2 linked regions of the Xenopus tropicalis genome follow. The protein of the gene in region 2 purifies or fractionates together with the protein of the main gene of each other region. This does not show direct contact. Links are inferred from orthologs where the notes say so. Each region holds a gene or a part of one and is shown on either strand. Other genes may lie near its edges.

Region 1 (4,201 bases), on a different chromosome or scaffold from region 2:
GAATAGCACTTAATAGTAAAAAATCCAAGTCCAGTTTAGGACTCCTCCAGTTACAGGAAAGAGAGAATAGATTATCTGAAAGCAGTGAGAATTTGTAGCACAACTCCTTCTGAAAGATAGCTTCAAGAATAAAAATTTAAATGCTAGAGGGAATGATTTGCTATGTAAACGGTGTAATTTAGAAATAAAAAGTACCCCGTAAAAGTCATGACAGTATCCCTTTAACGGAAGGCCTTACCAGGGATCTATACAGAGTTAATGTCCGTTTTCATGCAAGACTAGTCCCGAGAGATACAGCCTAGAGCTGCACAGTGTAAGGCTGGCCATATACTAAATGATCTGCTTGTTTTGGTGAAGCTGCAAAACAAGAGGATCTCACCTGTATCAGCCCACCTTGAGCTGGTCAATATCACACTGATTCAATTTGATCCAAAGACAGTATGCATTCTGTTAGGAGGAGGACCATGCTAACAAGCTGATTTGGTTCTTGTCCCAATGGGATTTTTTTAACTTACCTGATCAGCAGCTGGCCAATTTTCAGCCAGATAACATTGAATTTGCAGTTAATGTTCACTGGGTGCTTTGCCAGTTCCAGAACCTGCCTGTTAGCAACACGATTAGACAAAAGTTAAGCATGCTCCCTAAAATGACTGCTGTGGGGCCGTCACCCCTAGTTAAGTCACTAAGTAACGCACTTTAATGCACCAGTTGCTGTAACAGTCTGTCACTGGTACCATTTTGTCACCAGTAATGGGGACACAAAGACAGACAACTAATCTCCCTGAAATGCCTTCCCACTGGCATCAGTGACTTGTTGGTGGGAAAGCATACACAGCTCATCCCTTTCTAAAACCAGCAAATGAATCTGTGTGTAACCCCTGCCCTTACATCCCCTCTCACCCATCCCTGTGTTATAGTAACAGCCATGGAGATCAATGGAAATCGGCTGCTATCCTGCTGTTCCTTGCATAACCCTATCATTAGAAGGGAGTGCATTCCTACAGAGGGAAATGTAATTAGATTGGCATCACAGACGAGTTTAAGTGTGATTTAAATTTAAAAAAAAAAGGGGGAATAATAGAAAACTGCGCCCCAGTCACAGCGCAGCGCAGCCCGACCAACTTTAGCGCTCCCGCCCCGCCTACTTACGCAGCCTTGGGAACTACTAGAACAGAAGGATCTCTGACATTACCTGGAAGCTATATAGTATAAAGCCCGTCTTTTCTATTTCACTACCTCCCCCTCCATCACAATAATCAATGAGACAATCGTCCCATACCTCCCGGACTCCCTTATAAGGTCAGCATGAGGTAAAAACCCCGCCCTTTCATGCCTGACGCAAAGCCGTTGGGCCCCGCCCATTTGTGCCGCGCCTGCTGCTGTTGCTAGGGAGCCGTTGCCATAGAGTTGAGCGATTGTCCGCGTGCGCAGGCGGAAGTGCCCGGATTGAGGCTGCCATCTTTCCCGGGCAGAGCTAGAGAGACAGAGAGGTTGAGTCACTGGGAGACGGAGACAGACAATCGGCTTCCATCCGCCCAGTAGATCGCCTTTAATCCCCGCTAGCTACCGCCATGGAAGAGCGAGAGGATCTAGTGTACCGAGCCAAGCTGGCAGAGCAAGCCGAGAGATATGACGGTAAGAAGAATCGCTAAATTCCCCCCCTTAGGTCGACGGGCGGAGAGAATGGAGGCGAGACAAAATGGCGGAGGGTCTAGCAAAGGGAGGGGAGGACAAAGGAGACCCTCATAGTACAATAGGGACTGCTTTTCTGGGATGACAGTTGCTTAGACCTGGCTGCCATTTAGTGTTAGAGGAGCTCCCTGGGGCTGGCTGCTGGCGGCCAAGCGGGAGGGGGCTGTGGTAGGAAGGGAGGCTGCTTATAAAATGGCGACTGCCGAATAGGGCGAGACTATGGGGGGCGGAGGGCGATTTATGGTGTAACTGACCCTTCAGCCTTTTAGGAGGAATAACAGAGGCTTAGACTGGGGGGCAGCTCCCCTATTGATACACTACACATCCCAGCATGCACTGCTAACCGGGCTGCACGGAGTGCATGGGAGCTGTGGGACCGCAGAGGGGATGTAGGGATATATGTGCCGGGGATAGGGCAGTGTGCTTATGGGCGGATCACTGGGGAAGATGGCGGCTGGGGCCGGTAAAACGTCTGCAGTGGTGCAATTTCCTGGATATGTGGGAAAAGCCGCTTGTCTGGCAGCGGAACAGGGGGTTAAGGCATCGCCATGGAAATGGCACTTGGGTGGGATGGCCCTCAGGCTGCGGGCGGCATTTGTGGGCTGAAAGGCTCATTGTCCCAGTCAAGCTGGAATCATGGACAATGTGCAGGTTTCGTGTCTGGCCAGTAATGAGTTCTCTTGGGTTACACACACTGGTCACATAAGGGGGGTCTCCATTATTCCTCAAAGCCCTGCAACCTTCAGCTCTGAACTACAACTCCCAGCATTCCACTGGCTTCACAAGCTGGAAGAGGCACAGGGGTTTGATAGCGTTCCGATGGGATGGAAATCTAGCTCCACTGAGCTTAAAGCTGCATCCAAACGGTGTTTGAATTTTTAAATATATTTTTTCCCAGAATTCCAGCATCTGTCAGCCAAAGCAGTCAGGGTGTAGTAGCTTGCTGGGTGCATCCTTTCATTGTACATTGGTGCAGTGTTATTGTGCAGACCTCCTATCTTTGTTATTCCACTGACAGCAATCTGGGTGGGGGGAGAAGGAAGGGTTATGGTGATGCTGCAAGCCCTTTTACTGTACAAAAAATCTTCCCATGATAGGTCTAGCTCAGATTTTTTTTCATTATTATAAAGGCTGTCTGAGATAACAGCCTATTTTCTATACGTTTTTTTAATTTTCATATGTGATATTTGCCAGGTTAATTCACACTGTCCCAGAAGTGGATTCTATAGTTGGCTGTTTCCTTAGCCAGCCTTGCCTCAGTGAAGCAGTAGGACGCGCCTTGCTGCGCACCTCCGCCCTGGGCCTGGCCTGTGTGCTGTTTCATGCGTCCAGGCTCATTCATTCCTGTCAGACCAGTCCCTCGTCGTGCAGAGGGATTTGTAGATCTGCATCTGGGTGCGTGTCTGTGAAGAGTTGGCAGGTGTGGGCGTGCCCTGTCTGACAGAATGGCCTTAGTCCTGACTGTTCTACAGGATAACAGGCATCCATGGAAAATTGATATATTTTTATTATTATTTAGATCTGGTTTATTTAATTTCCTCCAGCCGCCCTTATTTTTCTTTTACACCCCTAATTAGAACAGATACATTTTCTGTTAAATTTCTCCCACTTAAATTTTAGATATGGAGGAATAATTTATTTATTAAATGCACTGTGATGTTACTTTATACATATTTTAGATAACTCCCCAAGAAACCACATGAGAGGCATTGAAATCCTTATTAATGGAGTGGGGGTACCAGTCACCCACCTCCTTGCATTTATGGAATGCTTGTTTATGTGGTTACCTTTGTCTCACTTGTTTACTATATTTGGAATCCTGGGAATGCTGTAGTGTTCTAGAACAGAGTGTCTGGAACCTGACCTGAGGCAAGAGAATGTCCACTTATCCACATATGTTCATTATTATGTGAATAGCAAAATGTGGTAGGTCCTCATGCTGGAATGCTTGGATATTCACAGAAATGTCATTGTTAGGGAGGCATTAGAACAGGTTTTGAGAACCTTTTTATTCAAGAGATTTAATTTTCAGAACTGTGTGACTGAAACATGCACATCAGATGTGTCTCTAAGATATCTATACCATCCTACAGCTGCCCAAAGACTCCATTTGTATGAGTTATATTTCCACTGAGCTTCTGTATAGCGGATAATACCCCCCCCCCCCCCATATACACACAAAGTTGCTGATTTTTAAAGTGCTGTCTACATAAGTAGTTCTAAAGTCCTGAAGAGTGTTGGGTACCCAGGGTTATCTGCGAAATTTTTTTTGGGGGGGTTTAATGGGGTTTCTGGGGTGTCATTTTTTTTTTTTATTCCTTTACAGTTATTCATTCAATTTTTAAACTTCCTTTTTACTATTTCACTTCTTGCATTATGGTATCCCTCCTGGTAGTCTTTAGATTGTGGGCCAGAACAGGTAAAAAATGTGAGCTGGGTGGGGGTCTACCCAGTTAAACTCACATCGGTCTCTACACAGTTGTATATTTTTAAGAATACACTAACAGTA
Region 2 (4,449 bases):
GTGGGCGCCACTTTGTGGAGCAGTGGTACCCGGTTTCTCAGCCCACATCCTACAAGGGGAAGAGCAGCTGTCCCTCCATTCGCCTAAAATCCCGATACCAAACCATGAGCATCCTCCCCATGGAGCTGTACAAGGAGTTTGCAGAGTATGTCACCAACAACTACCGGATGCTGTGCGCTGTACTGGAGCCTGTGCTTAGCGTGAAGAGCAAAGAGGAGGTTGCCTGTGCTTTAGTGCATATACTGCAAAGCACAGGCAAGGCCAAGGTACATGGGTATATTGTGTGTCTTAGAAGCAGCATGTACTTTATAATGCAAGTATAAACACATATAAATCAGCTGTATCAGCTGCTTATGCATAATATAGCATGTAGAGATAGTATGCTGATAGTACACTGAAATATTTAAAGAGTTTGGCTAGTTAGTTAGATTAGTAATGAGTTGTTAATTACCCATTTCCTATGCCTTCTGGGCAGCCCTGAGAGAATTTGTGCTTGGAATGGTTGATCAGCAGATGCAATGAATTATAAGGTATTGTTGTGTGTAGGTAATCTGTATTTTGGGTCATTTCTAGGACTTCAGTCAAAAGGTGTGTGTGTTTTTGATGAATCTTAAACAGATGGTCACTGAGTAGATTTAAGGCAAACAGTTGCTAACTGAGGCTATAACTTTTTGAAGGTGGGCATATATTGGCCATTCCCATTTAGTACCCAACTGATCTGCCCATAGGCTGAATGGATGGATATTTTACATTGGGTTATTCATACACATCTTTGTCCTTTTCTATTTATTTTGGCCAACAGCTTGAAGATTTGGAACTATTTAGATTAGTAATAATTCTTTATTACTAAAGATGCTAGGTGTACCACCATAAGTTTCTGTAGAACATGTTTATTTTATATTCATACAGTTCACATTGACTATCTATTATTATTTATACTTTAAAGCAGCCTAGATATGGAGGATAATACCAAAGGTTTTGTATATCAGTTATTGGTTATAGTCTTATGCCAGAGGTACCCACACTTAAGCGGTATAGGGTTGTTGTCATGTAGGGGCCAACCATCTCAACTGCCAAAGAAAATATTCCTTACTTCACAGTTATTGTACATTTTGCATGTTTATTGAGTGGTGTCTGTGGACAACAAAACATGCTCCTGGGAAAAAGCAAGGAGAAACAGGTATATAAATAAAAGGGACAGTTGGGGCAGATTTATCAAAATGTGAGTTTAGAGCTTAATACATAAAAAAACTCACCAACATTATATTCATTCCTATGGGATTTCTAAAAGCATATTTATCAATGGGTGAGTTAGAAGTTAGATCTCACCATTTGATAAAAATGCCTCTAAAAAACCCAGTAGGAATGAATAGAACATGGGTAAGTTTTTATATATTAAGCTATAAACTCAATGTTATTCGGGCTTCCTTTGATTCCTGGTCCTGTCAGTGGCTGCAACCTCTCTACATCTTATTGCCAACCTGTCAGTGACTGCTAAGGCAAGTCTAAAACTGCAGGCTTAGCCAGCAACACAGTCACAGTAACTCTAGAAAATAAAACAATGGCAAATATACTTACAGCTCCTAATTTATACATTATATAAACTCATTGTAGAGATAACAAAAAAACGTATATTAATTTCCTCTGCTAAAACACATGTAGAGACAATTATCAGTAAAGGATCAACATTGTTTATTTTTGTAGCTGCAAAAAGTAGCTGCTACTAGTAGGTCCATGTGTCTTCACCCTAAGGCTTATGTTAAATGGGAAGATTAGTCACCCATGACAAATCTCTGCTTACCACGGGCTACTAATCTGCTCAAAATGCCTTCCCACCGGCAATAAGGTGTTGTTGGGAAGGCATAAGCGACGCTAAGTCACCTGAAGTTTTAGAAGAGGTTTATCATGGGTGACTAATCTCCCTGTTGGACATTGGCCTAAGAGTATGTGGAAGTAAGATGTTCCAAAATGTCCATGCTTCTCTAGAAGCAAGTGATAAAAATGCTAAGGGAAAGGTCAGATAAAGTGTAAATCTGCTTCTCTTAGTCCTGCACTTTTTTTGTCAGGCTGAGAGAAGTGGATCCGCTTCCATCCGCTCCTCTGTGTGCCTGCCTTAAAGACTATGGCAGCTGCCCCAGTGTGGGCACACAGAGTGGAGTGGATCGGAGGTTTGCCTGTAAAAAGAGAAAAGCAAACATTTTCAAGGCCGACCTCCGATCCATTTTGCTCTGTGTGCCCACACTGGGGCAGCTGCCATATTCTTTAAGGCAGGCACACAGAGGAGTGTACGGAAGCAGATCCACTTCTCTCAGCCTGACAGAAAAGTGCAGGGCTGAGAGAAGCAGATATACGCTTCACCTGACCCTGCCCTGGTGGCTCTGGCATACGAAACAATGTAACACACCACAGCAGATTGACAGACCTGACTTGCTGGAGGAGATTGACCATTGCAACATTGTTTAAAAAGTAACAACCAGGAGTTCAGTAAATGCTGCTTTCTATAGCAATTACATTTACACATAACTTTGATAAATTCAAATTAGAAAGTTGCTTGGAAATATTTATTCTTTTATTAGAAAAAAAATATTTTTGGGGTTGACATGTCCTTTAAATGTGCTTTTATTTTCTCCCTAGAGGATCATCTAATTTAAGATGCAGAGAAACTGTGTTTAAATAGTTGTTAAGCTTTCCCCGTTTGCATACATCTGGGTCCCAGAAACCACTCTATTTTGAAGGACTTGAGTGAGCAAACTCCTTCTTCTCCCGTTGATTACAGGAATCAACTTTCCCTATTCTATGCCTCCTGATAAAAGGGAGCTACACATTCCGAGAACTCAAGTTTTGTCTGTCTGTGTAATAAAATTTGGATAAAGCAGACACGCATATATTATTATAATTATAATGCACCAACACATTCCACATTGCTGTGCATTTACTTTTATAGAGCTAAAGAAAAACCATGCGTGCAGCCAAGCATATAAGAAACATTCACACAGATAATAGCATTTCCATAGTAGACATCTGCTGCATAACATGATGTGTGTGTCATGACATGGATGTGTCCTACATTAATACAAAGCAAGAAGTTAGTTTTAATAAAAAGTTCTGCAGTATATCTCAAAAGTGCTTGTTAGTGTGCTGCTGAGGTTGGGGTTCATGGTTTCATTTGTTAAATAACCTGACATAAATACATCCATATAGAGTCTCCATTTCCCTTTCCAGTTGGTTATTCTTTGACATGTGCATGTATTTTGTTGAGTGGAGCTCCTTACTATAAAAGCTACTTTGTAGTTCCATTTTGTCGCCAGTACCACAAGTGTATGATTAACATTGAAATGATAAAAAAGAATATTGGTTAGTAAGTAGTAGTGCTAATTTATTTAAATTATTGGTCTCTCTACTGGGAGAGATGGAGTCAAAGACTCTCTCTCATCCTTTCTCCTTCACTTTTTCTCTTTTATCAGGACTTCATCTTCCACATGGCTGTCACTCTCTTTCTCCCCTTCTCATTTTCTATTAACCCCTTTACCCCCTTTTCCTTCCACTCTGATGACCTTCTATTTCTCTGTTTGTGACACTCCATCTCCTTCTCTATCAATCTCTCATTTTCTCTATCACTATTTCTCTCTGCCTCCTTTCCTCTCTCCCTCTCTCTCCCCAGGACTTCCTTTCAGACATGGCTATGACCGAGGTTGATCGCTTCCTTGACAGAGAGCACCTTATTCTCCGTGAGAACACACTTGCAACTAAAGCCATAGAGGAGTATCTGAAACTGATAGGACAGAGATACCTCAAGGAAGCCATTGGTAAAGATGCTATTGTGTTGTTTTCCTATATTTGTTTTTTAATTTTTTTTCTCTTGTTTTGTCTCTATGATTTAATCTTTGTCTTTTCACATATGATTAAATTCTCTCTCTTTCATTCAGTTCTGATATTCATCTTTTTTCAAATTCTTTGTTCTTCTAGGTGAGTTTATTCGGGCACTGTATGAGTCTGAGGAGGACTGTGAGGTTGATCCCATGCGTTGTCCACCCTCTGCATTGCCCGATCACCAGGCCAATCTCAGGATGTGCTGTGAACTCGCCCTTTGCAAAGTCTTTAACTCTCATTGGTCAGTATTAGGTCATGTGATATAATGAAAAGTATTACACGTAATTCATTTCTGGAATTAATGAGTAGAGCAGAAGTGTGAAGGTTATTAAAGTTATAATGTTTGTCTCATACAAAAAGATAGGAGAGACTGTGGCCAAAACCTTATTACAGAGTAAAATGACAAAGCAGACAGGAAAAAAAAACCATAACCATAGAGATGGAGTTCTCTGGGCACTGATATCATTGTTGAATTACATTTTGTTCTATTAGCTTCTCTGTTATTTATTCCTTTCTCAATTTTTCAGATTTCTGTGCCTGCTGTATGAACCTTTTTATCTCTTCCTGTTTATTTATAAT

What was found.
Region 1: the proteins of syngap1 (region 2) and ywhae purify together in Homo sapiens (affinity purification with mass spectrometry; 3 studies listed by BioGRID and IntAct, with this or other methods). This does not show direct contact. The link is inferred for Xenopus tropicalis from reciprocal best matches to the Homo sapiens genes SYNGAP1 and YWHAE.

Annotation. Positions count from the first base shown.
Region 1 is NC_030678.2:46,067,105-46,071,305, reverse strand, and holds the start of ywhae (14-3-3 protein epsilon), read left to right. Parts: upstream 1-1,401; 5' UTR 1,402-1,571; coding exon 1,572-1,635; intron 1,636-4,201. UniProt on the Homo sapiens protein: Adapter protein implicated in the regulation of a large spectrum of both general and specialized signaling pathways. Binds to a large number of partners, usually by recognition of a phosphoserine or phosphothreonine motif.
Region 2 is NC_030684.2:71,832,502-71,836,950, reverse strand, and holds part of syngap1 (ras/Rap GTPase-activating protein SynGAP), read left to right. Parts: coding exon 1-266; intron 267-3,661; coding exon 3,662-3,806; intron 3,807-3,966; coding exon 3,967-4,111; intron 4,112-4,449. UniProt on the Homo sapiens protein: Major constituent of the PSD essential for postsynaptic signaling. Inhibitory regulator of the Ras-cAMP pathway.